Lepisosteus oculatus: one gene and its partners. The protein of the gene in region 2 purifies or fractionates together with the protein of the main gene of each other region. This does not show direct contact. Links are inferred from orthologs where the notes say so. Each region holds a gene or a part of one and is shown on either strand. Other genes may lie near its edges.

The links.
Region 1: the proteins of derl1 (region 2) and rnf5 purify together in Homo sapiens (affinity purification with western blotting; 4 studies listed by BioGRID and IntAct, with this or other methods). This does not show direct contact. The link is inferred for Lepisosteus oculatus from reciprocal best matches to the Homo sapiens genes DERL1 and RNF5.
Region 3: the proteins of derl1 (region 2) and amfrb purify together in Homo sapiens (affinity purification with western blotting; 4 studies listed by BioGRID, with this or other methods). This does not show direct contact. The link is inferred for Lepisosteus oculatus from reciprocal best matches to the Homo sapiens genes DERL1 and AMFR.
Region 4: the proteins of derl1 (region 2) and tmem129 purify together in Homo sapiens (affinity purification with western blotting; 3 studies listed by BioGRID). This does not show direct contact. The link is inferred for Lepisosteus oculatus from reciprocal best matches to the Homo sapiens genes DERL1 and TMEM129.

Annotation. Positions count from the first base shown.
Region 1 is NC_090709.1:39,110,365-39,117,676, forward strand, and holds the start of rnf5 (E3 ubiquitin-protein ligase RNF5), read right to left. Parts: upstream 3,379-7,312; 5' UTR 3,375-3,378; coding exon 3,199-3,374; intron 2,750-3,198; coding exon 2,731-2,749; intron 2,445-2,730; coding exon 2,332-2,444; intron 2,062-2,331; coding exon 2,007-2,061; intron 1,477-2,006; coding exon 1,365-1,476; intron 709-1,364; coding exon 587-708; 3' UTR 1-586. UniProt on the Homo sapiens protein: Membrane-bound E3 ubiquitin-protein ligase that mediates ubiquitination of target proteins. May function together with E2 ubiquitin-conjugating enzymes UBE2D1/UBCH5A and UBE2D2/UBC4.
Region 2 is NC_090705.1:10,757,985-10,765,689, reverse strand, and holds the start of derl1 (derlin-1), read right to left. Parts: upstream 3,097-7,705; 5' UTR 2,896-3,096; coding exon 2,743-2,895; intron 1-2,742. Other genes in the region: tbc1d31 (TBC1 domain family member 31), read left to right, coding at 4,178-4,254, 5,436-5,582, 7,024-7,139, 7,460-7,638. UniProt on the Homo sapiens protein: Functional component of endoplasmic reticulum-associated degradation (ERAD) for misfolded lumenal proteins. Forms homotetramers which encircle a large channel traversing the endoplasmic reticulum (ER) membrane.
Region 3 is NC_090715.1:3,657,993-3,666,385, forward strand, and holds the start of amfrb (E3 ubiquitin-protein ligase AMFR), read right to left. Parts: upstream 3,191-8,393; 5' UTR 2,809-3,190; coding exon 2,560-2,808; intron 1,713-2,559; coding exon 1,620-1,712; intron 853-1,619; coding exon 688-852; intron 309-687; coding exon 156-308; intron 1-155. Other genes in the region: serine/threonine-protein kinase VRK3, read left to right, coding at 5,791-5,938, 6,656-6,796, 7,200-7,307, 7,571-7,708, 8,153-8,208. UniProt on the Homo sapiens protein: E3 ubiquitin-protein ligase that mediates the polyubiquitination of lysine and cysteine residues on target proteins, such as CD3D, CYP3A4, CFTR, INSIG1, SOAT2/ACAT2 and APOB for proteasomal degradation.
Region 4 is NC_090696.1:34,284,846-34,292,979, reverse strand, and holds the start of tmem129 (E3 ubiquitin-protein ligase TM129), read right to left. Parts: upstream 3,220-8,134; 5' UTR 3,186-3,219; coding exon 2,981-3,185; intron 2,271-2,980; coding exon 1,796-2,270; intron 190-1,795; coding exon 30-189; intron 1-29.

The DNA of each region.
Region 1 (7,312 bases), on a different chromosome or scaffold from region 2:
TGTGTGTGTGTGTGAGAGGCTCCACAGTCTGATCCTCCTGGTCGAGTGTGACCAGAGACCGAACGCTGAGATTCTGGGGGCGCGGGACGAGACCATCTGCCCCGTGCCCGCAGGAACATCGCCCCAGGGGTGTGAGGGGACGCCCCAAAAGCCCCGCGAGCAGAGGGGGGGGGGTTAGTTAAGACAGACGATGAAGTCCTTAAGATACGAGTCAATGAAGATAAGAGCCAGGCTGACCCCCGACCCCCGACCCCCGACCCCGAAGAGACCCGAAGGGTTAAAACTATTTCGATTGACAACAAACAAACAAGCACAGGAAATAAGAGAAGGCCCCCCAGCACCCCGGCCCCCCGCATCGAGGGGGAGGGGGATTCTGGGACAGGCCGGGGGGGGGGGCGGTACCGAGACCGAGTTCCGGTTCTGGAGCGGCGCGGACGCAGAGCCCACACGCACAAGCGCGTCACCGCGCGCGGCGGGCGTGTTAATACAAGAGGGGTCAGGGGTCGAGACACGCCAGGGGAGGGGGGGGCGCCCCCCCGCAGGACGACACCTCGCCCGCCCCCCCGGCCCCCCCGGCCCCCCGCCCTCAGATGCTCAGCAGCCAGAAGAAGAAGAAGATGGCGACGAAGAGGAACAGGGAGTCCTGCCAGCTGTTGCCGTTGCCGGGGTTACCGTTGTCCGGGTAACCGCCGCCTGGGTGGGGAGTATCTGGGGGCGAGGAAGAGAACCCCCAAATCAGAACAGATTCCAGCTGGAGAGTCGCTATATAACCTCATGATACTGAGAGCACAACACACACACACTCCTGTACAGACACACACACTCCTGTAGAGACACACACACACACTCCTGTACAGACACACACACTCCTGTAGAGACACACACACACACTCCTGTACAGACTCTTACTGGACACACTGTAGAGACACACACACTCCTGTAGACTCTTATTGGACACACTGTATAGACACACACACACTCCTGTAGACTCTTACTGGACACACTGTATAGACACACACACTCCTGTACAGACTCTTACTGGACACACTGTATAGACACACACACACACTCCTGTACAGACTCTTATTGGACACACTGTATAGACACACACACACACTCCTGTACAGACTCTTATTGGACACACTGTATAGACACACACACACTCCTGTAGACTCTTACTGGACACACTGTATAGACACACACACTCCTGTACAGACTCTTACTGGACACACTGTATAGACACACACACACACTCCTGTACAGACTCTTATTGGACACACTGTATAGACACACACACACTCCTGTAGACTCTTACTGGACACACTGTATAGACACACACACACTCCTGTAGAGACACACTGTACCTGCGCGGTGAAACGGGTCATTGGTGTTGAAGACTGTAGTGAAGAAACCAAAGGGAAACGCACCAATACCGAAGGACATGTGGAACCCAGTGTCACCGAAACCCTGGAAGGGCTGAGAGAGAGAGAGGGGTTCATACACTCCAGTACATGAACACTGCACTGAGAGAGAGAGGGGTTCATACAGACACACTGACTGGACACTCCAGTACATGAACACTGCACTGAGAGAGAGAGAGGGGTTCATACAGACACACTGACTGGACACTCCAGTACATGAACACTGCACTGAGAGAGAGAGGGGTTCATACAGACACACTGACTGGACACTCCAGTACATGAACACTGCACTGAGAGAGAGAGGGGTTCATACAGACACACTGACTGGACACTCCAGTACATGAACACTGCACTGAGAGAGAGAGGGGTTCATACACACACACTGACTGGACACTCCAGTACATGAACACTGCACTGAGAGAGAGAGGGGTTCATACACACACCCTGACTGGACACTCCAGTACATGAACACTGCACTGAGAGAGAGAGGGGTTCATACAGACACACTGACTGGACACTCCAGTACATGAACACTGCACTGAGAGAGAGAGGGGTTCATACAGACACCCTGACTCAGTGACTCACCCCTCTGCTCTCCGGCTCTGGTCTCTGTCCCTGAGGTCGAGGAGGAGTTTTCAATCTATAAAAACACCAAGAAAGAGTTAATTCATGAAGCTGAGCAAAGATACCAACAACTGGAAAACAGGAAACCTCCTGAGTCTTTCAGAAGACCGGGTTTCGCAGTGCTCTGTGGTCCGACTGTTACCACTAGACAACGGGTCAGATGTAAAACCTGGAAAGGAAGGGACTGCTGTGCAGCTGGAGTCTATGAGCACTAAAAACCTGCCCCACTTCACTCAGACAGACACTGGCGCACAGTGGACACACAACGGACAGGACAGGACAGTACCGTGGGTCATCCTGACTTGAGCTCCCTCTTCCATACAGAGGAATAACGTTCTCCCGGCTGATCCCGGCCTTACACACTGGACACTGCTGTCTGCTGGGGCGGGTCTCCAACCACTGAGAGAGAGAGGGGTTAATACACTCCAGGACATGAACACTGACCTGAGAGAGAGAGAGACTGACTGGACACTCCAGGACATGAACACTGACCTGAGAGAGAGGGGTTCACACACACACACTGACTGGACACTCCAGGACATGAACACTGCACTGAGAGAGAGAGGGGTTCATACAGACACACTGACTGGACACTCCAGTACATGAACACTGTACTGGGAGAGAGACAAACTGACTGAAAGTTACATTAAACATACACCAAGGAAGAAATTAAAAAAACACTTACTTGGTGTAGACATGGCCAGCTGTTTCATGAAAGAAAGCAAAGAGATTTGCATTTAATTTCAGAAAGGTTACAAACAAGAAGTCACTATGCACATTAGACCCGTTTGGTGGGTCAGTAGCTAATTGATCAGAGGAATTCATCCAGCTGTTCCACTCCCCCACCCCCCTCTGTGTACAGAAGAGCCTCCTGTCCTGACTGGAGGAGCTCACCCAGCTGTGTCTGGAGAGAAGCCAGGGTATCGGCTTCAACCACAGGGCTGGGCAGCCTGTTCCCCACCCCCACCCCCCTCTGTGTACAGAAGAGCCTCCTGTCCTGACTGGAGGAGCTCACCCAGCTGTGTCTGGAGAGAAGCCAGGGTATCGGCTTCAACCACAGGGCTTGGCAGCCTGTTCCCCACCCCCACCCCCCTCTGTGTACACACACACACAGACAGTGTCGCTGCCTCTGAGCCCCGACCCCAGCTCGCACCAGAACAGATGTCCGCACAGGCTGATCACCGCGTCCCTGGCCGTGTCCAGGCAGATGTTACACTCGAAGGTGGCCCGGTCGCGCTCCGTGTCCCGGCCCAGCCCGCCTCCCGTCCCGCCCCGGTCGCCGTCCTCGGCCGGACCGCTGTCCGCCGTGCGCCTGGGCTCCGCCGCCATGTTTGTTTACCTGCCTGGCTCGCTCGCTCGCTCGCTCGCCTCCGGTCTCTTCCGGTTTCCGCCGGTGACACGCCGGGCCCGTAATTCACCGAGTAGAGGCGCCTCCCGGCTTGGCGTCGAGCATGAATGGGTCGCGATTCTTTCAGAAATGCGTTTATCCTGCGCTCTGTTTTTATCATATTCAGGTTCCCCACACTTGTGCTGTGCTTTAACCCTGCTCTCACTGGGCTGTACTGCGCTGTACTGTGTTTTTACCCTGCTCTCACTGGGCTGTACTGCGCTGTACTGTTTTTACCCTGCTCTCACTGGACTGTACTGCACTGTACTGTGTTTTTACCCCGTTCTTACTGTGCTTTACTGCACTGTACTGTGTTTTTACCCTGAGCTCACTGGGCTGTACTGCGCTGTACTGTGTTTTTACCCTGATCTCACTGGGCTGTACTGCGCTGTACTGTGTTTTTACCCTGCTCTCACTGGGCTGTACTGCACTGTACTGTGTTTTTACCCTGCTCTCACTGGACTGTACTGCACTGTACTGTGTTTTTACCCCGTTCTAACTGTGCTTTACTGCACTGTACTGTGTTTTTACCCTGATCTCACTGGGCTGTATTGCACTGTACTGTGTTTTTACCGTGATCTCACTGGGCTGTACTGCACTATACTGTGTTTTTACCCTGTTCTTACTGTGCTTTACTGCACTGTACTGTGTTTTTACCCTGTTCTTACTGGGCTTTACTGCGCTGTACTGTGCTTTTAACCCTGATCTCGCTGGGCTTTACTGCACTGTACTGTGTTTTTACCCTGATCCTACTGGGCTGTACTGCGCTGTACTGTGTTTTTTTGCCGTGAGAGAAGGAGAAACGTTGTCAGGTTTGTCAGAAACAAAAGACCCCAGTTCATCAAAGTGTATCAAACTCCTACACGTGATTGGAGCTATCTGTCTATTTAAATTAAATCCATATTCATGAATAATGTGTCTGTATCATGAATTTAATTAAACAGACGTTCATCCCGACATTTGTGTGCAACTTTTCTTCTATACAGGACGAGACGACACTGCTCTAGCGTGTATGAAGTGACTCGGTTTTCCAGCGTCTTTGGAAAGAAGTGTTAAGTAGACGGAGCTAAGACGATCTTTCTTTGCGCTGAAATGTGGAAACGAGGTTTTAACAGTGTACGGTAGCCCACCAGCGAGCATCCTTCCCTCCGACATCGGATCTGGATGTTCATTGGACAATCCTGCCGCCACTCAAACCTGAGCCCCTTTCGCTGGGACATGATTGGACGAGCTGCCGGAGAACCGCCTCTCTTTCTAAAGGCGATTGGGTAGACGTCACGCCACTCAATTCGGCCTCGCCGCCTCAAACGGGGGGCAGGTGGGCGGGGCGCCGGGGTGGGGGAGGGGCGGTATCGCCCGACCTGCCCCGGCGATTGGACGCCGCGGATGTCCGTCACTCTGCAGCTCTGCCGCTGGACAGCTGGGTAAGTAATGGCGAGAACGGAGGCCGCGAGCACGGTCGCTTCGCCCCGACAGGCCCAGGTGACAAAACTACATTTCCCAGCAGGCTTTTGGCCTCTCCCCCCTCTCGGGTCCGTCGCTTTGGCCAGGTGCTGGAGCCTATCCCAGCGGGCAACGGGCGCAAGGCAGGACAACACCCTGGACGGGACACAAGTCCGTCACTGAACACACACACACACACACCAGGGTCATTTCTTCAGAGAAGCGACCGGACCGCGGGAGCAATCCCACGCGAGCGCGGGGAGAACATGCAGGCTCCACACAGACAGCGCCCCCGGGGGTTGGACCCGGGACCAGCGCGCCGGTGTGCGCCGCCGAGGTCCCGCTCCACCCGTCCAGAATCCCCCGGGCCTGGGCCGGGCTGGGCTGGGCCGGACTCGCTCTGGTCGGACCCTGTTTCCAGCTCCGCGCCCGATTATACGTGCCTATTTCCTCGCTCGATACGTCGGTGTCCATCGCTGTCCGGCACACGCGTGTCCTGCGAGTCAGATTCACCCCCCCCCCCGACCAGGCGTCCGTGCGACCCCCCCGGGAGACGCGCATTCAAAGAGTCCACACGTACACGTCTCCGCTCTGTTCCCGTCCCGCTGACTCCCGCTGACTCAGCGGGACGGGAACAGAGCGGAGACGTGTACGTGTGGACTCCCGCTCGGCAACAGCTGAAGAAACAGAAATGTTCTCTTGTGGCGCCCTTCCTGCACGAGGTCCCTTTTTGTGGGAGGAATTTGAAGCGGCCGGGATGTAGGGCGGATTCCCACTGGATGAGCGAGGAAGACACTCGCAGACACGCTGGCCTGGAGACGACCCCTACACGTGTGTGTGAGACTGTGTGTGTGTGAGAGAATGTGTGAGAGAGAGTGAGAGTGTGAAAGAGAGTGTGTGTTTGTGTGAGAGTGTGAGATTGTGTGTGGGTGTGAGAGTGTGTGTGAGAGAATGAGAGTGTGTAAGTGTGTTTGTGTGAGAGTGTGAGGTTGTGTGTGGGTGTGCGAGTGTGTAAGTGTGTTTGTGTGAGAGTGTGAGGTTGTGTGTGGGTGTGAGAGTGTGTGTGGGAGTGTGTAAGTGTGTTTGTGTGAGAGTGTGAGGTTGTGTGTGGGTGTGAGTGTGTGTGTGAGAGTGTGTGTGAAAGTGTGAGGTTGTGTGTGGGTGTGAGAGTGTGTGTGAGAGTGTGAGATTGTGTGTGGGTGTGAGAGTGTGTGTGAGAGTGTGAGAGTGTGTAAGTGTGTTTGTGTGAGAGTGTGAGGTTGTGTGTGGGTGTGAGAGTGTGTGTGAGAGTGTTTGTGTGAGAGTGTGAGGTTGTGTGTGGGTGTGAGTGTGTGTGTGAGAGTGTGTGTGAAAGTGTGAGGTTGTGTGTGGGTGTGAGAGTGTGTGTGAGAGAATGAGAGTGTGTAAGTGTGTTTGTGTGAGAGTGTGAGGTTGTGTGTGGGTGTGAGAGTGTGTGTGAGAGAATGAGAGTGTGTAAGTGTGTTTGTGTGAGAGTGTGTGAGTGTGTGTGTCTATATACTGTATCTATGAACAGCGGCGGTTGTTTTCAGTAACAGGGTGTCTGACCACCGGGCTGATTCTGAACAAGCTGCTCAGTGCGACCCGATAGCCTTGTAACAACAACAACAACAACAACAACAATAATAATAATAATAATAATAACAACGACGACGACGATGACGATGATGATGATGATGATGATGATGTTTATTAATTGTATGGGGGTTATTATACATTTGATATTTTCTCTCCCTCCCTCCTTCTCTCTCTCTCTCCACCAATTCCGTTGGGTTTGTTTTTCCGAAATGTGACAAAAAGGCCGGTTGTGCGCATTTCGGACCCGGCCGGTCTCAGTCACAACCGGCACCTTCCGGCCCGGTCCGGCCATGTCCGGTCCGGTCCCGTCCCCCCCGGCGCCTCGCAGCCTCCGCAGCTGCATAGCAACAGTAACCAAGGACCCGGTGTCTCGGTGAAGCGAGAGAGAGAGAGGGAGAGAGAGAGAATTGAATTGAGAGAGAGGAGAGAGAGAGAGAGAATTGTATTGAGAAAGAGAGAGAGGAAGAGAGAGAGAGAGAGAGAGAGAGGAAGAGAGAGAGAGAGAGATGGCCTCTTTCATCGCCGCCCCGCGGCTCTCCTGTCGTGCGATCTGCCCCCCGTCTCCCTGCGTGCTCGTGTCGCTCCTGGGGGGCCTGAGTGTCCTGTAATCGCCATGCTGCCGGACTGACCCCGCCGACCGGCGACACGGGAGCGAGCGGCACCGAGCGGTACCGGTACCGCCCGGCGCAGCCCCGCCGCGAACGGGTCCCTCCTCCTCCTCCTCCCGCCGGCGACACGGAACGGACTCGATCCGCCGCCGCCGCTGTTGTTGTTGTTGTTGATCTCCGCGGTCGATGTTTCTGCGTCCAGGGAAGACAAGACACAGACAAGGCAAGACAAG
Region 2 (7,705 bases):
TGACCATAAAATGAAAACATGATAATGGCTTCAGTATTAGGTTTTTCAGAATGTTTTTGATTAAGTTACACAAAACAATCAATCATTCTAAACCTAAAGGCTGTTGGCATCAAAAGGAATGCAAGTATTTGGACTGAGCTGGTAGATGGATAGAAAACAGGATACAGATTAAATAAATGCTCTTATTGCTCTGTGTTAGTGGAGTACCACGAGGATCTACATTAGGTCCATTGCTTCTCCTAACATAATATCAATGATACAGATAACATCAAAGCTAGTTAGCAATGGTAGAATCGACACAAAAAAAAATCAAAAACACTGCAGAAAAGCAGAGTGTCTAGTTTAAGATGTGAAATGCTAATCTCGAAGAAGATTGAAGGTTACGTTGGCATCATTTTCTTCCACCAAGCAATGTATGGAAAAAATAAAACAGGCAAACAATATTATTAGCTATACATGTACAGTAGTACATAGACAGGTAAAAGAGACAAGTAAGGTGTAATTCCACACGGAAAAGTAGAAAGTTTCAGGTGTGAGGTTCCTTTAGGTTCTTCACACCTGAACAAGGCACTACAGCTGAAATATTGGGTTTCTTCTTTCTACTGTTCAGTGTGGAATTAACCTTTACTTGTTCCTTTGCAGCTGCCCACTCAAACATACATAAAGAAAAGCATAAAATATCAACCAATGAATATGAGTTAGGGGGACTCCATTTAAAACATTTGGGTCAGCACAAAAGAAATATTGCTGCCAAAGAACAGTGATCAAGTAGGTTCTTGGATTTGAGGGGACCCGATTCAAACATGCAAAAGATTCAAAGGCACTGACAAAGTCAACCTAATGGACTGCTTCAGAATAAACTGCGATACATGAACCACAGCGCACGTGAAGTGCATTTTAAACAATTAACCCCTTTTACACAATGTCAAAAAGTCTTACATCTTTTAAATATTTTCCTGACCATACACTAAGCTCCATGCAGTCATCACCAAGAAGTATAGGTATGTATGTCTTGCATCACAGCTTATACAGCATCTGTTTTAACAGCACCACCTTGTGGGCATTTAATGTTATGACACATACCTTATAATTGTAAGCAGGGTTACAGTTAAGTAATAAAGAGTTAAGATCTCTTTATTAGTCATATACAATTTCTTGTATTAGGAATTTATCTTTTCACATACCCCAGCTTGCTCTCCATGAGAACAACAGGCGAACAGACAAGGAGAGAGAAGCTTGGGGTCAGAGCGCAGAGTCAGCCACTTATACAGCACCCCTGGAGCACCTGGGGTTAAGGGCCTTGCTCAGGTGCCCAACGGAGTAGGATTCCTCTGCCGGCCGTGGGATTTGAACCAGCAACCTTCCAGTCACAGGCGCAGATCCTTACCCACAGGGCCACCACTCCACCCGGTAAGTTCTCTCCAAATTAAACTGCACTTTTTCCATGCTGACTCAATGATTCATCTAAAACTCTTTCAGAAATCAAGTAGAAAAGTCAGTTGATATTCCAATGCTAAATTGAAAGTAATTTTCATTTTACTATAAACTAACATACAGTATGTTTAACTCTGGGTAGACTGATGGTTAGCACGTTCCATAAAATTCATACATTATCTTTTAAAACAAGAAAACCACTGTGTCCTTCACATGTTTCCCTGAATTAACTGACCTTGTATAAGTGTTCAAAACGCACTATACTTCAGAGAGTGTACACAGGCCTATCTACCAAGTATTCATTTAATTGTTTTTTTTTAAGTTTCCACTAGGAAGAAAAGTAAGCAACCATGACTTGCACATTATCCGTGATGTATTTTACATTAGTACTACAGCAGTATTACTAATTTGACAAAGACTATATTGTAACAGAAAACCCTAATGCACCAAGCTGCACTAACCAGATCATTACAAATGATAAATGCAATCCTATTATTATCAATCACAAGTAAAGAAAGGTTGTGATTGATGATAATGGGACTATATTTATAACATCAACAGCAGTTTACACTTGTCTAATTACGATTATTCTCATCTCGTAATGGGAAAGTATACCATTAGCAGATTGCTATTAAATCGTATTTTTTTTCTTTAATAAAATACAGACGTTTTATTCTAGTATTTCTTTCATATCCTACTCCTCCACACTTGAAATGTAAATGAATAACAAGAAAAAAACGATGCCCGGATCATAGTATCCCAACACAAATCCTTCTCAATGTCTGGGGGTTAGTTTGCGATCACAAAGCGTCACGGTTTCCCGGAAGTCCGACCGCCGCTGCGTCACCATTGGAGACCGGGGAACTGACGCGCACGCGAGTGGACAGCTTGCTTGTCAATCGAGGGGACGTACACTCGTCAGGCCTAGCTCGCCAATAAAGCCCTGTTCGGCATTGTTTTGGTTCTTTAACTCCGCCGTATTTCGATAATATATTTAAAAATGCCCATAACGACCGCATTCTTGTAAAAAACAAACAACATGCATATCGGCAGGTTACAAACGGCGAGAAACGCCAGTCTGTCAAGGTAGTAAATGACTCCCTGAAATGAATTCCTTGAACTCTGAAAATAAATAACAGACACAGAAAGGCAGTAAAAATCACCACGCTTTGCAGTAAAGAGAAAACTAAAACGTCAAACGTTGTTTAATAATGATGTCATATGTAGAAAAATAAATTTATTTTGCATTTCTAGGATTAACCGACGCGTAACGGGGTTTCAATTGAGCAGAGTCAGATCTTGTCTTACCTGAAATTTGTTAATAAAATATTCCGGCCACAAAACGAGGTACACGGGACTAATGAGTCCCAGTTTTCCTATTAGGGGTACTATGATTGACCCAGCAAACCAGTATCTGGTGATGAACGGGATACTCTTAAACCAGTCCCCGATATCTGACATTTTCAAGAAAATTATGCATACAACAGTCCGAATGAAGTCCAAATCCAAGCCAAAATATCTCCCACAAAACCCTCTTCGTTGTCCGCGACGCACAGTAATGTCTTTTTGGACTCAACGTTTCGTTTCGCTATCTTCAAGTTTCCCTGACGTGGCTGCTCAGGAGTAGTTTGTCAAAGGGCGACACTTCCTGTGTCTTAATTATACAAGCATGACCGCAAGGGGGCGGTAGGCCCCACCGACCTCCAGCCGAGTCTGACTTCTCCGAACGGGTGGCAAGTCAATCACAGAGGATCTGTCATTAGTTTGCTGTTGTTTTTATCTTTGAATCTTTTTGAAAGGCCGTTTTAATTTTTCTGTTTTCCTGTTTGCAAGGTTACGCGAACAACACGGTGCCGGTTCACCAACCGGGGAGATCACTTGTTGAAATGTTAACAGCCAATACAATGAGTAGTTTTGGAAAAGATTCCTGACAGCTAATCGCCCGCTGATATTAAAAATAAGCATTGGTTGTGAGTTTAATTTAATTTAATACTTCTTTACATATTTGACATTGCCTTCTTAAAAATATTTTTGTCGCATAAATCGGCACTTGTAATCTTATGTTTTAACCGTAATAAGTCAATTATAAAGCACTGAATCATCGCGCTACGGGGGAATGATTCCGTGGTTAGTTAGCAGCTCCTTACTGATCAGACGTGTCCGTTACAATAAGCTGTACAATTTGTCAAACTAAACCCGAAGCAATATATTTGAAAGGACATTAAGTCTGTTTTAAAAAAAGTTTATCTCAGGTTTCCCCATGTGTAATATTTGCCACACACTCAGGTTTGTTTTAGGATTTAGGATTTGTTTAATATTAAAAAGCACACATTTACAAAGTATGAATTACCTGCTCGCAACAGCAGGAAATGCTTTTAAACTACAATACCCACCAGCCACCTCTCTCTGTTTACCTGTTCGTCACTTCCTATTGTAATGGCAACCAAACTGGCATTACTTGCAAACTTGCAAACTGCTTTACAGCTTTAACAGACGTTTCGGAAAGTTTTTGTTAACTCGGTTTTAGAAATTATGCAAACTTGTACTTGTGTATAGCCACCAAATATATACATTAGGAATTTATTAATCATTGCACCGCGAATGTATCTAAGAATCGTTTTAAATTTCGCGGTACTGTAACCGCCGGGTTCACAACGGTGAGTACAAGAAGGCGCAGTGGCAATACTCCGTTGGGAGAAAAAACTATAACTGAGTTTTATGTGGTTGTCCTCCAGGTAACAAAATGCAGACGACGGATATAGGCACCAAAGAATGTGGGAAAATCTGGTACCGAAAGCCAACGCCTTCACCAAGTGATGGGTTAGTATCGTTTATCTCAGACAGGAATTTACAGGTGGTCAAATAAACGGATTTATAAAATCCTTCAGGCGTGTGTTTTGCAATGTGATTTATGTATTGTCAGACATATTTTTAGTTCGATAATTCCAGGAGGCTGGATTGAGCAAAGTTTATCATCGCGCTGTAAAGATTTCTAATTGGCATTAGCATTTGCCTGATGATATTGTAGATCAATATTGCGTATGTCCATTTTAATCCTGTTAACTCGCGTGTTCTACAAGAGGAATTAATGCGTATGTATACCCATACAACATGATCTGTTTAAGTAAGACGATTGTTAGCGTAAAGTGCAGTGTGAGTGAACATGAAACAGTTTACTTACGTATATGAAGCAGACAATTGTTTGTATTGGATCATTGCGGAAACGTGTATGCGAATAAAGTATTCGAAATAGTTATGCCAGAGAAGACAACGCCAACAACTCACAAAAAAGTAAAAAGAAGTCTCCACATGCATACTTCCGACTTCAAGACTGTCGGAAAGTGTATACTTTAACTTGATGGATAGTACTTCATGTAGTGACAATTCATTTATTCAGTTTGAGTGTTATCCCGTAGGGAAATGTATTTCTTAACAGTGGTGCCACCGCTTGGTGTGCAGTAATAACTGCACGTCTTTTGCCATTTCTGCGTTCAGTGAGCTATCATTCATTCCAGTGACGTAATATACACTTATTAGGGTGATCTAAATAAATGCTCTTTGGGTGCCCGTTATTGTACCATTGTGTGGTGAAAAGTCACGAAGATATCCATGTGTTAAATCAAAGGGTTTGTCATCTATGTGAGATGCAAATGGAACACTAAATTGAACTTGAAGTGACGAAAGTGCCCAGGGTGAATTCTTTTACAAAGGCATCTCGCACAGATGACACCCTACCGAGATAAACGAGTATGTATATTAGTGATCTTCAGATTCAGATTCTAATCTGTTTAAATGTGTTTGAGTCTTCATTGATCAATTCAATCCATGCTGTAACGGGACAAGGGAAGGGTGTGTGTTTAAAAAAAAGACTGCAAAGAGCTGATTTTTTGTATTAGCTTCATGAGGCCTCTGTACGAGTGTAGACAATGTCTGGGCTCATTTGCTGACGATAAAGTAGCGCCTTAAAATGGGTAATAAGAGATCCTAATTTTCCTTTACAGGGTCCTTATCAGAGTGATTCGCAGTGCAGCAGGATACCATTCCAAGACTGTTCGTTTTCTGCAGGCTGCCTTCGACACAACAGGGGAAGCGTTTTTAGCGGGAGACCACCATGGAAATACCTATGTCTTTGATATCAGCAGAAACAGGTACATTATCATGACGTATCTGTGATGTGTGAGATACCTAAAGGATTGGGCTGTTCACAGCTACCTGACCTCAGGCTTTTTAATTGGAGCTCCTGGCATCAGGACTCTTTTAGTTTTTCATGCTGTTTCTCAGTCGTGTCTGATTTGAACCACTCTGGAGTACCTGTAAATTTAAAAAGATCTTTGTAAGGGGCCATTACAGTGCAATGTGATGACCATCATCAGATGTGATAGAATGATGGTTGCTCATAAAAGTTGCCTGTATGCTAGCTAACCCAGGCAGCACTGCCCAGCGCCCTGAGTGCCAATAGGATACAGTCGGGAGCAGCTGCCTGGGCTCTCTCTGCCTTCAGCTGTGAGGACTGCCATGTGCTTGCAGATTTGTCACGAAAATCATCAAGAAACAAGCACTCATCCAGTTGGCATTAACCTGGATAGAGGCATTTGATAAAGGAATAAATAACTAGAATATCACAACCTTTTTGAAGAGTTCCAAGCAACTCCATACCCTGTTGCTTTGATAATGTCAGTGAACTCTTTAAGGAAAATAAGTGGAAGCTATAATGATACCTAGCAAGTTGGGAAGTCACTGGACAAACAGTTTTAGAAGGAGAATTTTGGTGAGCAGGTGATGGCCTGTTTTGGAAAATGTGAATTGTGTTGTCACTAGATGTTTACCTGCCAAGTTGAGAATTGACTGGCGAAAACATTTCATGCTCAGGAGCATTTTGCATTGCAGGATGCTATTGATAACGGAGCAAAGGTTCAGGCGGCCTTCCTGGTTTATACAGAAGTCTTGGTCTGCCGTATCGTGATTGCATTGTCAATATAATGGAAAAGATAGAGGTTAAATTCACTCTAAAAAAGGAGAAAAAAGAAACGCAATATTTCAGGTGTTGAGTGTTCTTCAGGTGTACAACCTTCTCCTCTCTCTCCTTCCTCTCAAAAGCCAAAACATTGTTTCTTCTTTTCAATAAAGAATTAACCTTTACTTTCACCAATGTATGCTGACACAGCTCCCCACTCGAACTTTGTCACTATATGATATCTACCCAGTTTAGAGTTAAATGTGCAAATAGTTCTTGAAGCAGAGCAGCTAGTGTTACAGGCGATGACCTGGTGTGGGCATTTAAAGTCACTGAAGCCTGTAAGACATTTGTGAAGCAAGAGGTGCTTGAAAACCTGGATATGATTAAACCTTTTTAAAGTTACAGAGGAACAGTAGGTTGCTGAGTACATGGGTTAGGCCATCAAGTTCTTATCCCCTTCATAACCATTGATTTCTTTATTTTTTGCAAATTTCTTTGCGTTGTAAAATTTCATTCCGGCATTTCCTGTGCCAGCAAGTAAATCAGATTTCTAATTATTATTTTTTATCCTTGATGTGTTTCCTAGCTGTGTTCTGCAGTCGCACTTCTGGTGGTCTCTCGTCCTGTCCTAGGTTCAGGCTTGTTCAGAAGACTGGGCAGGCTTGTACTGCTTTGGCCTTTAACCTACGCCGAAAGACAGAGTACTTGGTGGCTTTGGCCGACTACTCCATCAAGTGCTTTGATACAGGTACACACGTCCATGGCACTAAGCTGAGAATTCCCTGCGCTATTAGGTAATTGGCTAGTTATAAGATCAGAGAACTGCTTTGTCACAGTTTCAGTATCCAGGTTTTTTGCTTTCCAGATTGCTAACCGCAGACTAAAATGTTGAAGGATCATATTTTTGGTGCACTGATTTAGGGTATGTAGACTTACATAGTCCCATTCATAACAAAGAGAAGGTTCTTTATATTTCCTATGTTGTGTCCCAGGCACTGCATTGACAAAGTGCTTTCCTACAGCTTGTAAACTCCCTGTAAGTTCAGACTGTGTTTTTGCCTTCGTCAGACTCCAAGGAGCTGGTGAGCTGGATGAGAGGTCACGAGTCTGCTGTCTCTTCAGTGTCTGTTCATGGCTCGGGGAGGTATGCCATCACTACCTCTGCAGACACAGCTCAGCTCTGGGACCTGGACACATTCCAGAGGAAGAGGAAACTTAACGTCCGGCAGTCTGTGGGAATACAGAAGGTCAGTGCACTGGGATTTCAACTTTGTTGACAGCAGCAGGGACGTCTCATGTACGAGTGTTTTGTCC
Region 3 (8,393 bases), on a different chromosome or scaffold from region 2:
CATCATGAAAATACACTTCAAACTCTTATATCTTGTAAGCAAAACTTGTGGGATTATGTGCATTACTTGAAATTTCTTTCAATACAAAATGCCGAGAAAGCTCTATCCTCGAGAGACGATCAATGTTGAGTAATTTAGGAGGAGACTGGTCGTACCTCAGCAGCCATGAAGGCCACAGTGTGCATTCCATGGGACAGCCCCACTAGCCCACAGACAAGAGCCAGCCCACAGCAGGAGATCATCATGGACACCAGCAGGGACAGCACTCGCACGTGGCTGCTCATGGGGGTGGTGGGCGAGAACGACAGCTGGGGAGCACACAGAGCATGAAGAACATGGGGTTCTGTCCCCTCCCGTCCATTTCTAAGACCGTTTCATGTGACCCAGTGACAAAATCACTGTATGCAAGGATTTGGCACGTCTGCAGGATGGTGCAGATTTCCTTCAACAAAAGTTAATAGCCGTACTTTCAGATTGCTTTACACATCCCACCATCTAAACCAGAGGAGCTGCTATAAGGTGACACCAGTCATAAGACATTAAAAATGAGGGTTAAACTAAAGACGGGAAATACACCTCATGGACTTCCAAAAGATCGCTTGTCTAACGAGCTGGCCTTGCGGGGCACAGACTGCATAGCAAATAACAGCACACACCTGACTTTTTGAATGGTCCAGTGCTACTTACATATTCAAACCGATCTTTGCAGAGCTGGACCATGAGATGCAGAAAGACCAGCACTGCAAACCAAAGGCACCACATGACCACTTCTTCCACAGTCTGCACATTCAGCACGCCAAAGATGAAGATAAACTTGTAGAAGATAAAGTTCCAGAACTTGTCCTTCAGGTGCTGCAGAGATTGACGGACAGATGCTAAGGCTCACATCAACAATTTTAACAGCTTTGCTAACACTCGTGCAATCACAGAATGTTGTAAGGTTGCTTCGGTGTTTAGCTGGCATTTCTTTTGGTGTTGGAGCTAAAATGGCACGTGGCTGATAAAGTTAAAAATTATTAGCTATAATAATTCAGTCCATAAAAAAGATTCAACCATTACTTAAATTAATCAGAAGGTTGCATTCAATACATAAACTTCACAGCTAAATAATTAAAAGACTGAGAAAAGTCAGACCAAACCATCACATTCAAGCTCTGTCTGAGAGGCTTCTCAGGGGATTAAAGTTGTTCAGTTACCAAATCTCTAGGCGTTTTGTGAATGATTAACAGAACAGACTTTATTGTCCACATTACCACTTAAATAAACTTGAGAAAACCGAGTTAAGCCTAATGTAACTTATATGTGTATCTCAGCATGAAGACTGACATCATGCAGCCTTTTTACTAAACCGGAATCCTCTTGACAATCTCGTGATGCAATACTGATGCACTCTGCTGTAACTGTGTAAACATGCTGTTGCACACTTATTTACTTAGATGTCTTGAAAACCCACAACATTTTCAAAACAGGAGCATACCTGCGTAACAAAATCACAGAAAAGGTGCCTGCTTAGTTTTGCGCACAATTAAAATTGAATCACTACAGTTTATCATAAGTATGAATTTTAGACCTCTCAATTTTCCAGGTGTGAAAAGGAAAAGAAATCCGATTCTCATTACCTGCCTCTCACTGACTCTCAGGGGGCCGAACACCATGTACTGAATCATTCTGGCAATCATCATCAGGAAGCAACACGCTGTGTTTACCAGGACCTGTGTTGTGGGGGTAAAACAGAGTCACAGGTACAAAAACAATCTACACTGTAATCCATGTGGCATCACCTTACATGTAACCTCTTCAGTAGTTTAGCGTAAAGCAACAAATGTGCTCAGTAAACATACAGCCACTTAGCACGGTTACAGAAACCCACTCAACATCTGTTTGCACAAAATCTGAAGTTAATCCAAGCTCCTGCACGATCGAATTGTTCAGTTGACATGAAGTCATGTTTTTTTTTTTTCTGCAACAAATAAACATTGACTGTTCTCATCAGCTCCCATGCCTGTGGAAACTTGAGCACTGCTGGTATTCCGATTAGTCCTAATTTTAGTTAAATCACTTGGCATTCATGGACTGCACCCTGGAACTTCAGAATATTAAGAATGGCGAGAAGCCAAACGAGTCCAGTCAAACAATTTGGCTTGTTAGGTGTCTATTTCTGTTTTACCGTTTTAAATGCACTTTCACACAGTTTCCATTTGTGCTCTCTGGTTCATGTTGCACTGTTGATACTGAAGATTTCTAAAATTTGAATCAGGCTCCTTGAAGTCTTCTCTGTTCCAAGACAAAAAAGGTCTTACCTAGGCTGATCCCAGAGCAGAAATATATTTTTATAAAGTGGTGACCAAAGCACCTTGAGATACTTTAACTTGAAAGGCAGCAGATAAATAAATAATACTCTCAACAGGAGTACGGGAACCGAACAACGGCATCACAGTTAGAATGACACTGTCAATTTAATTTGAAAATAAGAAATGAACACATGCCACCCCTTTAAAATGAATAACGTAAAACACAATACCCATCTGCATTGGATTCCTGTTTTGTCTACCTACATACCCAAACAAAAAAGCTGTCCGAAACGAGGTACCACAGCACATCTGCAGCGACTCCGTTCCCGACGCCGTCAATCTGGTTCTCGTCCTGACCCGGGCTGGGGTGGGGGTCTCCGGCTTCAGGCAGGCTGTAGCCCGGCTCGGTCACCGTGCTGTAGGCGCTGAGGATGCTCCCAGCCAGCAGGACCGCGCTCAAGCCCGTGTAGGTCCGCAGGCTGGGCCACGGGAACCGCTCCAGGAACAGCAACGGCATCCTGGCGCTCGACCGGCTCCGAGTTCAATAAATACAATCGGTTTCAATACCTTGTTTCACGGACTCGACACCGCGGAGATGCGATCAATAACGGTTTAAATTGGTTCTTTTTATTGAAGTAAAACGTTGTAAAAAAAAAAACCCAGTCAAACTAATTAAGAGTGACAGATTCAGGCCGGACGGACTACATGAGGATAAGCCAGTTCAAAGTTGTTGTCGATATATCGCATTCTGCGACATGGGGGTGTTGTAACCCTGCTAAATCCTGATGATTTTCTCGGATAACTGCAGGCACTTGTGTTGCTTTTGCTAATGAGTAAAAACGGGGCGGTTTTTTCTTACTCTCTGGCCTCGATATTACTAGTGTTTCCAGATGGATCCAGTTACTGCTTCAGCAGCAGACTTGCACAATCCTTCCGTGGCCCTGTTATACAACACAACAGCTTCGACAGGCTGACAGCACAACGGTTTCACAGCTGCTTGAGGACCGCGGCCCCGACGACTAGATGCAGACGTTATTTTAAGATTAAATACACTTTTTTAAGAGTCCATCTGATACGTTTTCCCTCCACTGTGATGCGGGTAAGGTTTAGTTGACTTGGCACCGGCCAGGGTCGAACAAACTATGTCAGCGACCTCCGTACTTTTTTACAAATTCGGTCTCCTCCACTCTTTTCTCTACTCGTCCTCTCAGTAGATGCAAAACGAGTCTGGCAGTGTTTATTTTTATTCCACAGTCCGTCTCCAGTTTCTAATTCTCGGAGTTTCCATCTGAGCTCCTCTTTTCCGGTTTGCGTCAGCGTCACTCAAGCCCTCCTTCCGGTTGTGCTGCCATAGAGTCGCTAATTCGTGACAGATTAGTCAATAGAAACTAAAAAAAAAACATTTCCAAATACTCTCTTAGAATTTAATGGATAATCCATTGTTGTGATCGATATTTTAGGTTACAATAACAATTAATTTTAACTATTCTTAAGTTTGGAAATGCTCATCCAATAAAGTTCTTACATTAATCCTACTAATTTACCACAAAAAAGAAAGAGGAGAATTAAGGAATAATGAATATGGGGAATTATGGGAATGATGAGTTCCGCAACACACAGTTCTATAATGTAAGACTTATCTTTTTTTTTTACTTTTTGAATTTCAAAATCACTCGCATCACTTCCGTGAGCGCAGGGGATAAGGGTTTGTGTCCCCTTATTTCAGAATATTTTTTATATATGTCGCCAGAGTCTTACTTTTCATAGATTTTCTATGCAAATTCTTATTTTCATAGATCTCCTATGCAAAATGCTCGGTTTTGAAACTGGTGTCGGCTAGTGGCGAAGAGCAGACGGCCCTGAACCATTTCGTAAGAAAGGCTGTGGCAGCTTGGATCACTCTGGGAGTAAATATTTTAAGAGAGACTTGAAAGCAGAACTGCCTGGCTGGAGAAAAACCGAGATTAGAAGCTGGTGCCATTCATTCTCCCCAGAGACATGATGAGCTCTGATGTTGTCTTTCAGACCTGTTTCCCCTCTCCTCCCAAAGGCAAGCAGGAGAGTTTTCATAGGTTAAGACAAAAAAAAAACATTCCTTCAGGACCTGACACTGTTCCAACTGTTCCAATAGTCCAACGAATACAGCATAGACTGTTGTATCTCTGTCATTACATAGCTTTTTGTATTAATCATTATTTCAACAGAAAGTCAAATTGTCAGAAAGTTACCAAATCCAGGTGAGGGACAGCTGGTCTCTGGGACTAGGCTGACTTTAAATTGACGTGGACTGACCAGTGTCTGACACACGGACTTTTCCTTTGGGGCATTTGGTCCTGGAACTGTTCTGAGAGGAAGTACCTCTGGTGGATAAGTAGTGTCATAGGTCCTGTGTAGATTGAGAAACTGTAATAAAAAGGTGTAATTATGTTGGATAAGTGTTTTGTCTGTGGGGACACTGGTGATTCATTAATAAAAGGAACCTATTGTGAGAGAAAAGGGTCCTAAGATCCTGAGAATGACTAAGCTAGAGGTGGCTTAGTCGGCTACAAAACAAAAGCAGTGTCTGCAATTAGGGGTTACCGTCTGTCACAAAAATTTCACTAACTATAAAATATTAATTGAACGTCACGCTTGCGAATCGCAGCACGTCTCGTTTTCAACGCCTTCGCTACGTCGGGACGCGCAAACCATTTTGGCCCAGGCGGCGCCCCGTCCTGTGACGTACAGCGGTGTTATTGTCACGTGACGCCGAGGCGGCCCAGTTCCTGAGGGGCTGGAGCTGGTCGTGCAACATGGTTAACTGATAAGTCCTTCAAGTAGGAGTGTTGACGGTTGTGTTTGGCGAGGGAAAGTTATATCGGTTTTTGTGGATTCGCTGGACCTTGAGGTACAATCTGCCCTCTTTTCGGTGACTGTGCAGCCTGTTTTGCACAGTAAAACTCACTTGAGTGGCGGTGCAATTGAGTTCTGCTGCTTCCGAGGTGTTAATACTTGTCTTAATCAGGGCGAGCCAGCGCCTCTCAGTCCTGCAGTGACATACCAGTGTTTCATATGCGATTGTTGTACGTCTTGTTAAATACAAACATGTATTTCATTTTAACAGACAAGAAGTGGTCAATCTTTGTAGGGACCTGTGCAATGAATATTAATTGTCGATCACGCTGAGCTTATGACAATGTGAGACATACTGAATAAGTTAAAACAAATTAAATACGTCTCGCAACCCGGGGTTTTGTATTAAGGAACACGTTAAGCAATCATCGGTTTCATGAAAACGTCAGTTAAATCGATAAACTGTTTTATATAACCCCCCCAGAAGCAATCGTCTGTAAGTGTTTATATTTAAGGGCCAAACTAAACGTGTAAAAAAGTGCTTTGAGTTGAGTGTCCAGAAAAGCGCTATAGACGTGTAAGGAATAATTATTAGAACCATGAAGGAAGTTCAGTCATCACAGTTAGCAGAACTTCAGCCTGCACCTTTCCTCCTCTTTCTAGCACCATGATCCTTCACTACTGCCCTCAGTGCGGCTCCAAGCTGCAGGCGGGCTTCAAGTTCTGTCCGTCCTGCGGACAGAAGCTGCCCACTGAGGACCCTGAAGAGGCTGCAGCCTCAGCGATCTCACAGGTGACCACCAGCGACCCCCCAGGTACGGGACGTCAGCGTGCGCCTTGCTGAAAGAGACAGACACCGCTCGGAGAAGCGGCTTGTGCTTGGATGTCTCCGTGCTTTTGATTTGAGTTACACGGGGCGGGGGGGAGGTTGGCTTTTGAATGACTGTGGAATGGTTACCATTCCATCTCGGAGTAAATAGGTTTCCATCAAAAAAGAGCAAGTAGACGTGTCTGTGGTGTCTTTTAAGAATTACACAGAGCAATTTACCTAAATCTCGATAGAGACTCATTATATACTGTAGATATATAGTTTAATAAGTTTCTAACCAATGCATTTCCAACATTTCATTCCTGTTCACTAATTGTGAAAATAGCACTCCAGTAAAGATGAACCCACTTACTCTTAGTTACTTTTCATCCTTCACTTCTGAAGGTAATTATGCTACTCTTGAGTAACTCACGGTGTTAAAGTAAAATGTCACGAAGGCTATTAGTGAAAATTGGTGGGCCAATATTGTAGTTTACTGTGTGTTTCAAGCGTTGTGCTTTTATTGCACTTTCTCTTTGCTTTCCAAGTCTTCACATGGTTTGAGTCTTGACTCATTAAACATCACTGTGCTCTGTTCTTTCTGACTTCCCTCACTGCCCTGCTCCTTCCCATACTCCTGTGCATGTTTAATTAGACATCCTGCAGGGTACAAGGGCAAGGGCAGCTGTTTCAAAACCCTGACGTGTGTTTCGTTCCTCTGCAGGTCAGAGCAGCCCCGCTCACGCCCCATCGCTCACTCCACCTCGCCGAACACGGCTGACGGCCGCCAAGGTCAAGGTGGAAGAGGAGGTCAGCTCCAGGACAGCTGCCTCCCTATCGAAATCCCCCAAGAGCCTCCCTGGAGGTAAGCAGGGTGGCCAGCCAGAAGCAGCAGTGAGTTGTGACACTGGGCGGTAATAATATAATAATAATTGCTTACACTTCTATAGCGCTTTTCTGGACACCCCACTCAAAGTGCTTTACAGGTAATGGGGATCTCCTCCACCCCCACCAGTGTGCAGCATCCACTTGGATGATGTGACGGCAGCCATAGTGCCCCAGAACGCTCACCACACATCAGCTATAAGTGGGGAGGAGAGCAGAGTAATGAAGCCAATTCATAGATAGGTAACGCAGTGGTGCACAGCTGCATGTACAGCATTCCTTGTCTTTCCCTTTGCTGAATGTGTTGTGCGTCTAGACATGGGCACGTTCAAGCACAGCAGCCATTTGGCTCACGGCCCTGACGCGTGGTCTCTGTTGTGTAGCTAGCCGTGCCCCGCTGTCACCGCGCAAACGCCAGGCGTCCCCAAGAGTCAAGCAGGAAGAGGAGAGCACCGCTGAGGCCTCACCCTCTCCTAAATCCCCCCTTGGGGGTAAGTGGACACTTCGGCTGTGGAAAAGGGGGGGGGGAGCTTCAGCCACAATGCTGGCACGCGCTGCAGATAGAGAAGGCCTTTCAGAGGCTCCAGTACAACTGATTTGGGAAATAACCCTGCTGGCCTTCCTGCATCTCCGCTGTGCAGACCACGCCAACGTGGGACCGAACAGGGAACGAGAGGAAGACGGGGCAATCGAATGTCAGAACGCAGATTTTGCAGAGTTCCCAGTGTTTCATCGTTCTTTCCCTAATCCTCAGCCAAAAGCACGCCCAAGAGAGCGCGGAGGATGTGCATCGAGCCCCTCCAGGAGAGCGAGCTGCTGACGGACACCGCGGGCAGGAAGTGGAGGCTCACCAAGCTGCTTCGCCAGAGCGACTCGGAGCTTTTGTACGGAGGTGAGCGAGGCCGGAGCAGTGCAGGACATGACCTTTGTGCTCTTTCAGCTGACTTATTCATAATATACAGTACCAGTCCTTTACTGCCCCGCTGATCGTCAGTGTTGTCCTTGTGTCACTCTGAATAGTGCGAGATGCCAGTTTATAATGATATGTGAAGTAAAAGCTCAATTTGTTTTATACGTGTTGCTGTATGAATATAGTCATTTTAGACCTTGTTAAGCAGGGTTTGCTCATTTTCTAGCCTGAAGTTTAAATGGTATTTGAACTGTTGGAAATGAAAAATAAATCTCTGCTGTGGAATCCTTGTCCTTAGTCGCTCTCGCCCGACATACACTGTGCAAATAGAAACATGTTGATTTGATACAGGAAACTGTTGAACTTTGAATCATCCCTCTGTTTACCTCTTTAAAATAAAACTTCTGTTCCTTAACCTCTTTTCAGTTCAACAGATTACCACTGGAGCCCCCACAGCTGACTACAAATACACCCTCAAACTAGTAAGTACCCATTTCAGATGAGACATGGCAGAGTCTTGCAGTGAGAGACTGTTTAATGTACGCAGCCCTTTTCAAGAGCAGTGACTCTTAATTTCACTTCTACAGTATGTCTAGGGGTTATGTGAGCACTGTTTCTCACTGGGTATAGTTCTTGTAAGACCAGAATGACGGTTTTCAGTTCCTGT
Region 4 (8,134 bases), on a different chromosome or scaffold from region 2:
AGCAGAGTCTGTGCCCTGCAGCGTCTTACCTGGTTACTGGGAAGCGAGTAGCTCTCGTTCACTTCCACGTGGGATTTAAATGTCTCCAGAAAGAGGTCACTGAGGGTCTGGTGGATCACAACATTGGCTGCATTACGAATAGGAGCGTGAAGCTTTTCCCTCAACTCACCGTACTCCGCAGAATTCAACCTGGAAAATTAAATCAATTACTAAAAATATGAAATACAAACATTGCTCTTCAAGTTAGAATGAAATCACGATTTGAACTCTTTCCCCAGCTGGGACTGTCAGTTCTATATGTCTATTCATGTCCTTGAAAGCCACAATCCTGCACATGTTGCGGGGATCTCGAAATAATCAATGGTTCGTGGAAAAGTACATTTCCGCTCTTTCAACAAATAATATAAACTGCTGAAGCAGAAACAGCCATTTCAATTTTATCCCTCTAAAATTCCAATAAAAAAGAATTGCTCCAAGATCTAGAAAAAACAAAACAAATGTAGAAGCTTTTCACAAATAACCAGTACAAATGTCTAAGTTAAAGCAGGAGTTTCAACTTCCTCTCCGATTGAAATACTTAAATGTATCCATGGATGTCCGCTGTGTCCTTGGAATCTGGCAGGGTCTATACAAATACTAATACTCTATCAAATAGATTATCTTATTAAATACATTTAACAAGATCTCAAAGAGCTGTACAATAAAAAGTATAAACAAAAGAAGGGGACCTATTGCATATAAACACAATTGACAGTGCAGGTTATAATTAAGCTATTTTGCTCCTTGCTGATCTATCTCTATCTAGTCTGTCTTTGCTATCCTTGGGGGAGAGAAGCAAAGTGCTACTTTCTCTCTCTCCCCCACACCTGAAGAAGGCTGGACAGCCGAAAACACTGCGGTTCTTTTCTTTTCCTTTCAGCATGGAATGAACCTTCACCTGTTGCTACGCAGCCTACGCATGCTGACGCAGCTACGTACTCGATAGTGTATTTGACTATATTTACTTTTCACCATGGAATTAACCTGTATTTGTCCCCTTCTGCCCACACACTGACACCACTCCTTTTCTGAGCCAGTGCTCATGTCAGGCCTCATTAAGCAGATGACTACAAAGTACGCTCTGCACTTTTTGTCTTGGATGTTTCCAAAAGAAAACACCATATTTAACAGGTTGAATTAAAACTGGAGACTGTGCTGCACTGCAAGTGTTCTAGTCCGTCACGGAATGACCCAACTGGAATAAAACCCTCAAGTTCAAATAGAACCCAATTTTCCTTCAGCCCTGGTGTCCAATTTTTTATGCCCTTCACTAGAATTAAAGAGCACTGGTGTTTTTGAACCTTTCGGCTGCGTGTTAATTGGTCTGGACTTGCTTATTATAAAGATCCCGTTATGACATAACCAAAGGGTTGTCAGACAACCCCCTTGCTAAAATGCAGTTTTTTAGGTTTAGCAGCATTTAAGTAAATGATGTAGATTCTAAACAAGACATCCTTGAAAACATCATGAAAGATCAGACACCGAATCACAAAGAATACTTTTACAGAGACTATAAATCTGTGTAACAGTACATCATGTGAGTCAGAACTTTTTATTCTTACACTCCCACGTTTGCGAAATACCCTGACTCTATGTGGCCTGTCTCTATGTACTAGATAACTAGATCAGTGGCTGTTTAAAACCTCATCTAAGATCTAAGTTTTTTCCTTTACTTTAAATACATAGCCTTTACTAAATTAAAGTAAATTCTTAATACTTCTTCATGAAAGGCCCTATATAGAGACTAGACTGTCACCTGATATCAAAGGGCTTCACACGGGGATTCACACTAGCCACAGAGATGGTGAGCATCTGCACTGGTGTGTTGGAGTCTGGGGACAGCTCGTGTTGCTTGGAGTCAGTGACTGTCAGGTGGATGTCTTGTTGTAGGGCAATGTGGACGCGATAGGTTGTGACCTTCATCACCCAGGTGTCAGTGACGATCACCCTGGCTCCCGGATCGCCGGTCGCAAACTTGTCTATGCGGCGGAACTCCGTGTTGATAGAGGACGCCACAGCCCTCCAGCTGGACTGAGGCAGGGCGTGGGCGGCCAGAGTCTTGGATATTGGGTGTTTGCCCCACCGATTTCTTGACCAGTAAAACACGAGCATGCCGCTTATCACCGGCAGGGATACTGCGGCGGCGAAGTAGATCCTCCACTCATCGCTCGCCTGGTGAATTCGCCACAGATTCTTGTCCGCCGCTGCCAAGCACATTCCTAAGTAATAACCTGGGGGGGAAAATAGTGTATGACTTCACGTCCATGTTTTCCTATTAATTGTATTGAATAAATATTAAATATTTATATTTAAAGCAAAACTACGTGGCCATTATAAAACAACGTTCGGAGATGACACATTTCAGTGGAGAGGGATTCATTTTAAGCGCTTTCACTATTAAATATGGATGAATTGCAGAGTGCCAGCGCTTTCACCTGATGAAACTCGGAAAGAAGTATGTTCTGCGCCAGGGCCTCAACCCGGTACGAGCTCAGTTAAGAGAGACGGTTTTCCCTACACACTACCTATTCTGGAGCGGTATGCTCTGATGCAAACATATGGGACGTTTCAGTTTCAGATTTAAGAAGTCGTGTTTCACGGCTTTCTCAGTATTCAGAGATGCGATTTAGTTTTTGATAACATTTTCAGAACTGTTTCCGAGTCTTGTTTCATTCTGGTAGAAGCTAATGCGTAAATTACAGTGCGTAGATTTAAAGTGATACAATTAAATAAAAACCTCGAAAAACTAACAGACAAGATGAGGTAATTAAAATGGAGATTATTTTTCCTTATAAGCTCATTCTTTGATCTTTCATTTCGTAGCAAATACAATTTTTCTCTGTTTCTCAACTGTCTAGTTAAAACTTAAACAAATAAAAAGCCAACTAAGGTTTCCAATTTGTGATGTTTTTCTATTAGCAAATATCCAAATTTGACTTACCAAGTGGCAACACGGAATGAACTAGGATTGTAACACTAGTTCTCCTAATGTGATATTGAACGAACCCTAGATCTTCGCTCCCAAGCCAACCCGAAAAAATGTTTTGTACTGTTACTCCCGCCGATCGGAATTCATTTGGAGTTAAGACAAAGCAAACTACAAACACAACATATGCCAAACTAAATGTAACTTCAGGATGCTCCATGTTTACAAGAAGCCACTACATACACCACTGCCACAGACTTCCTGTGTCAGCAGGGAATTGTGGGATTTGTAGTTCTCAGTTGTATAATTTGTGTAAAGCTTAAGAGGATTTAGACGAATTACTAGAGTAGACTTAACAGTAATTAAAAATAAAATCTTTTAAGTACACGTTCTGGACTTACGTGTTTAATACGTCTTTCATGTATGTTATTCGGTCGATGTAATGCTAGCAGCCATATCACCCTGCAACTCACAACAGGTAACCTAGTGTGAATCTGGCCAGTGGCTGCATGGGAGACATCCTGGGAAAAAACGAAGTTGCTGCTGGAAGAGGCATTAGAAAGGCCAGTAGGGGGGCGCTCATCCAGCACTCGGTGTGGGTTCTAGTGCCCCAATATAGTGATCAGGACACTACACTGTAAAAAAGGTGGTGAATGAGATGTAAACATTTCAGGGTGTTTCTTGCAAATAGTGAAATTGCTTTTCACTGATAGACCTGATTTTAAAGTTAATTTTAGAGGATGAAAAAATATATTATTGAGTGTCTTCTAGATAGAGCAACATATTTTTGCACTTTTTTAGGAGCACAATGACTGCTGGAAGAACAGGTATGCCTGTATGATACAATCTGCACATTGTGGGCTGCAGATAATTCATGTCAAATGTCACTCACCTGTAAGAATGATGTTGAACATTTATTTTTCTTTTAAGTTTTTTCAGTATTTCATTTTCATTCTTCTTCTTCTTCTTATTATTATTATTAATAATTGCTTACACTTATATAGCACTTTTCTGGACACTTCACTCAAAGCGCTTTATAGGTAATGGGGACTCCCCTCTACCACCACCAATGTAATATCTTTTTACAGTTTCACCTACCTGTAGGACTGTAGATTGCAATATTCTTGTATGAATCTTCTTTATATATAAAATGAGGAGTTGAAAAGTGAAGTGGTAATTTAATTTTCTCTGCACATTTCACAGAAATCAAGGAACTATTCCCAGATAACAGCATAAAGCATGTAGAAAGTGTCCCCATGTGTCGCTTTAAGTATGTGTCACGGACGTCCAAAGGGACTAACCGTGGGGAGCAGGAGAGCAGAAAAAGACCCATATGCGTAGCGGCGAGACGGGAAAAAGGCCCGGGCTCATTAGTGCAAAGAGTTCAGGAATGCCGTATAGAAACCTATGCCCTCAGGGAGCGGACGTGGGGCGCCCTGGTGCTAGGCGGGTCTCAGGACATCCAAACGTCAATGCTGAGCGAGGACAGAGTGCAAGACCCGGAAATATATAGCCCAAGGGAAAGAGAGGGACAGGAAGGACAGCAGACCGGAAACTAGGGACAGGTCAGAGAAGGAGCGCCCTCTGGCTGCAGAGGGCGTGACAGTATGTACATTTTGGACTGTGGATGAGTGGCACAGAACACAAACAGATATCTTATAGAGGTGGTTATGAGGAGTGGTCATTGTCCTCATCCTACCAGCTAAGGGGAAGTGCTAAAAAAAAGCCAGTATGTTATGAAAACCAGCCCTCAAGATGATAATTTCCAGTTCTATTCAAGATGTCTCTAGTGTGATGATGCTGTGCCTTAGTGTTCCCATGTGATAATTGCATGTTGGTGCTGTGCTAATGAGATGTGATGATGCTGTGCATTAGTGAGCCATCCATTTTCTAACCACTTCTTCCATTGCAGGGTTGCAGGGGAACCAAGAGCCAGTACGTCTTTGGACTGGTGGCATACACTGGAGCACCCGGAGGAAACCCATGCATATATGGAGGGAACTCCATACTGATAGCTACCCAGGTCTGGAATTGAACCCAGGGCTCCAGAGCTACAAGGCAGGAATAGTAAACCACTGCACCACCAAGCCATGCATTTTAGCAGTCTACTAAATGTTAATGGTATATGACTGCTGTTTTAAGGGTGTGATGGTGTGCTTACAACGTGGTAACCATATGTTGTGTTGTTTGCAGTCGAGAAGCGCAGGAACTCAAATCACTCAAGGAGAAGTCTAAAGGTGAGTACTGGGCAGAACCTCCCTTACCTCAGTGCATGGAGAATGGTGTACACGTTGTATTGAGATTCCTTTAATAAATGTTCCAGTTTATTTACAAGACAACCATTCCTACATGGAAACCTGTGGAATATCAAATAAACAGTTGATATCCCAACAATCTCTCAAATCTAGACTGGAGAACAAAGTATGGTCCTGGAAAAGTCCACATTGAGGAAATCCAAAAGCCAGTGCTACTGGGAACTGCTTACATATTTCAGCCTGCTCATTCTTTGTTTCCAAAGGTTCCATGTAAACATGAATCAAAATGGTAACACTGTAACAACAACAAAAATGTTGCTAATGGTGTTATGCTCATATCTTCAGGATAATGCTCAGACCTCTGATTGTGTATGTGTTATTTTATTATCTGTATTTTTGCCTGTATCTGTTTCTCACAACAATCTTGATCATGTTCATGTTGGTTTACTGCTGCTGACATCTCTCTTTCCCTCAGCTGTTTCTTATATAATGAGTTCATAAACTTCACTAAAGGATTCATTATGGGCCTGGACCGCTTATTCTAGAACCAGCCCCAGTCCAGCAAAGATTGAAAATCTTGATCCGACTTTATTCAATGGATATTTTGTATGTTGATAAAGTACTGTAATTGGCCGATCCCACAGCCTTCAGGGTCAGACCTGAACTGTCTTAACTCTAGTAGACAACACAAGTAATGCCAGTAAAGTCAGGTCTGTAAGCGTTTCTATTTCTCTCCTCTGTGGACTCTCCCACTGGCTCTTTCTCAGTCTATCAGGACAAGCTTTATCTCTATGTTGTGGCCAGCTGGTCAGTTCTGGTTTACACCCTTCACAACCTTCCTGGGAAAGGCGCTGATCTACTTCCTGTTTCTGTTGATGCTTGCTACTGTCCTGTTGGTTGATTTCAAGCAGTCAATCTGCTTGAACAGCCCTCCTGCAAGGGGGAAAAAGGAGCTGGTCCTATACTTCTATCTTTTTATCCTAGTCTTTGAGGAGATACAACAGGGATTGGGGGTTTGGTTATTATAATTTTAAAATTATATTCCGAATAATACCTTCCCAGATGCGTTAGTTGATCATTTTGTTGATCACCTGTCTGATATTTGTCAGAGTAGACCACAAACACAACAGGGTGGATAAGTAATTGAAACACAAAATGGTCACAGAACTCCAAGAATACCTTCTGATTATACTTTAAGTGCTATTGATTATCTTTAGATTCTATTTAGAATCTAATTTCTGAGAAGCTCTTTCTTCTCAAAAAGTAAGCCACCTATTCTCTTTCCTAGGGTTACTAAAGTATTGTGGAAGACTCATTCCACACAGCAAGCACTCTTAAGACATTAAATGAACATTTCAGTGGTTACAAACTTGGAAATGGACAGAGGCTTGTAATACTATGTTTCACAAATGTAAGGAATCCTTGCTAAATTCAGAGGTCTTTTGACCCACCCTTACCTCTCCAAATGGTATATGATGCCTCTCCTTATGTTGTAAGAACAGAGGTATCGCACATTATGCCTTCAGGAGAAGAGAGACCCATTGCTTTTGCATCATGAACCTTGTACCCAGTGTACCCAAGAGAAACCATGCCCAGATTAAACGTGATGCACTGGAAATTCCACTGGTTCATGTTTGGACAGAAGTTCACACTTCTCACTGGTTAGTGCCGCCTGAGGTCAATATCTGGAGTTCACATACAGTATGCATTCCCTCCATGGCTGCGAGCGGCATGCGACATTTCTCCGCATGCACCTATGAAAGAAAGTATACAAAATCAGCTCTGCAGAGAAATGCTGAAGATATGTCAAGATTGCCTTTACCAGTCACCCATTCCGAGGCGGTGCAGAAAGACATCTTTCCTGTGGGTAACACACCTACCTCAGTTAACCAGGATGAATTCCTAAGCGAATCCTTTGGATGAATAATCATTTAAAGGTATCTTCAATTAGTGAAAAAGCATGTAATAAAGCCAATAATAATATCGTATAACATGTAATTGGATCTTCAGGACCAGGTTATAAGGACTAAATCTTGAGGAACAGAGATGAAGGGTTTGGATCCCCGGTGTTAGAGGTACAACCGAGGAATGGGCACCCCTGGGGTTGGAATAAAACCTGTACTAGACTGAAGGCATCGATGCACTTTCCTCCGAACCAGTATAATAGATTTGCTATAAAATGTCAGTAAAAATAAACTATTTTTCTTTTAGAATAATTTCTATTATCTAACTAAAATTAGTAACTCAGGAATTCAGTGAATTATGTATTATAATTTATCCAAACCCTCCATCTCTGTTTATTATATACTGTATTATGGAAGAATCAATAAATTGAAACCAAATGTTAATTATATCATTTCATGGAGTACTTTATTTCCATAATATCTTAATACATATTTTATGCATTTTTACATAAATACCATTTAATAGATTCAAGTAAACAAGAGTATATATTATATGGTTATATATATTATATATATGTCATTGAAAAGAAATCTTACACATACACAATAACAGTGCAAGATCATGTTTTAGGAAAAACATGTATCATCCCATGTAATTTCAATAGCCTATGTACAAAGTAACATGGTGCTAAGTATTTCACAGTTGTAATGTATTAATTCAACATCCACGTTATATTGTATATATATCCATGCTTCTGTGAATTTTATTCTCTTCTTACATGTTAGTTATCGAGGGTGAAAACCAACTCGCTTAATGTGCACTTTTAATTCAGAAACAAAGCCCACTACTGAGCCCTCTTGATGCATTAATTACAAATGTCCATGATGGCCTCTAAATGACCTGCAAATTTCAATGCTGTAAATACACACGTATTAGATAAGGAAGGAATAATACACTTTTAATACACATCAGCTGTGCAAATCTGTGAATAACATTAGTTTGCGTCACT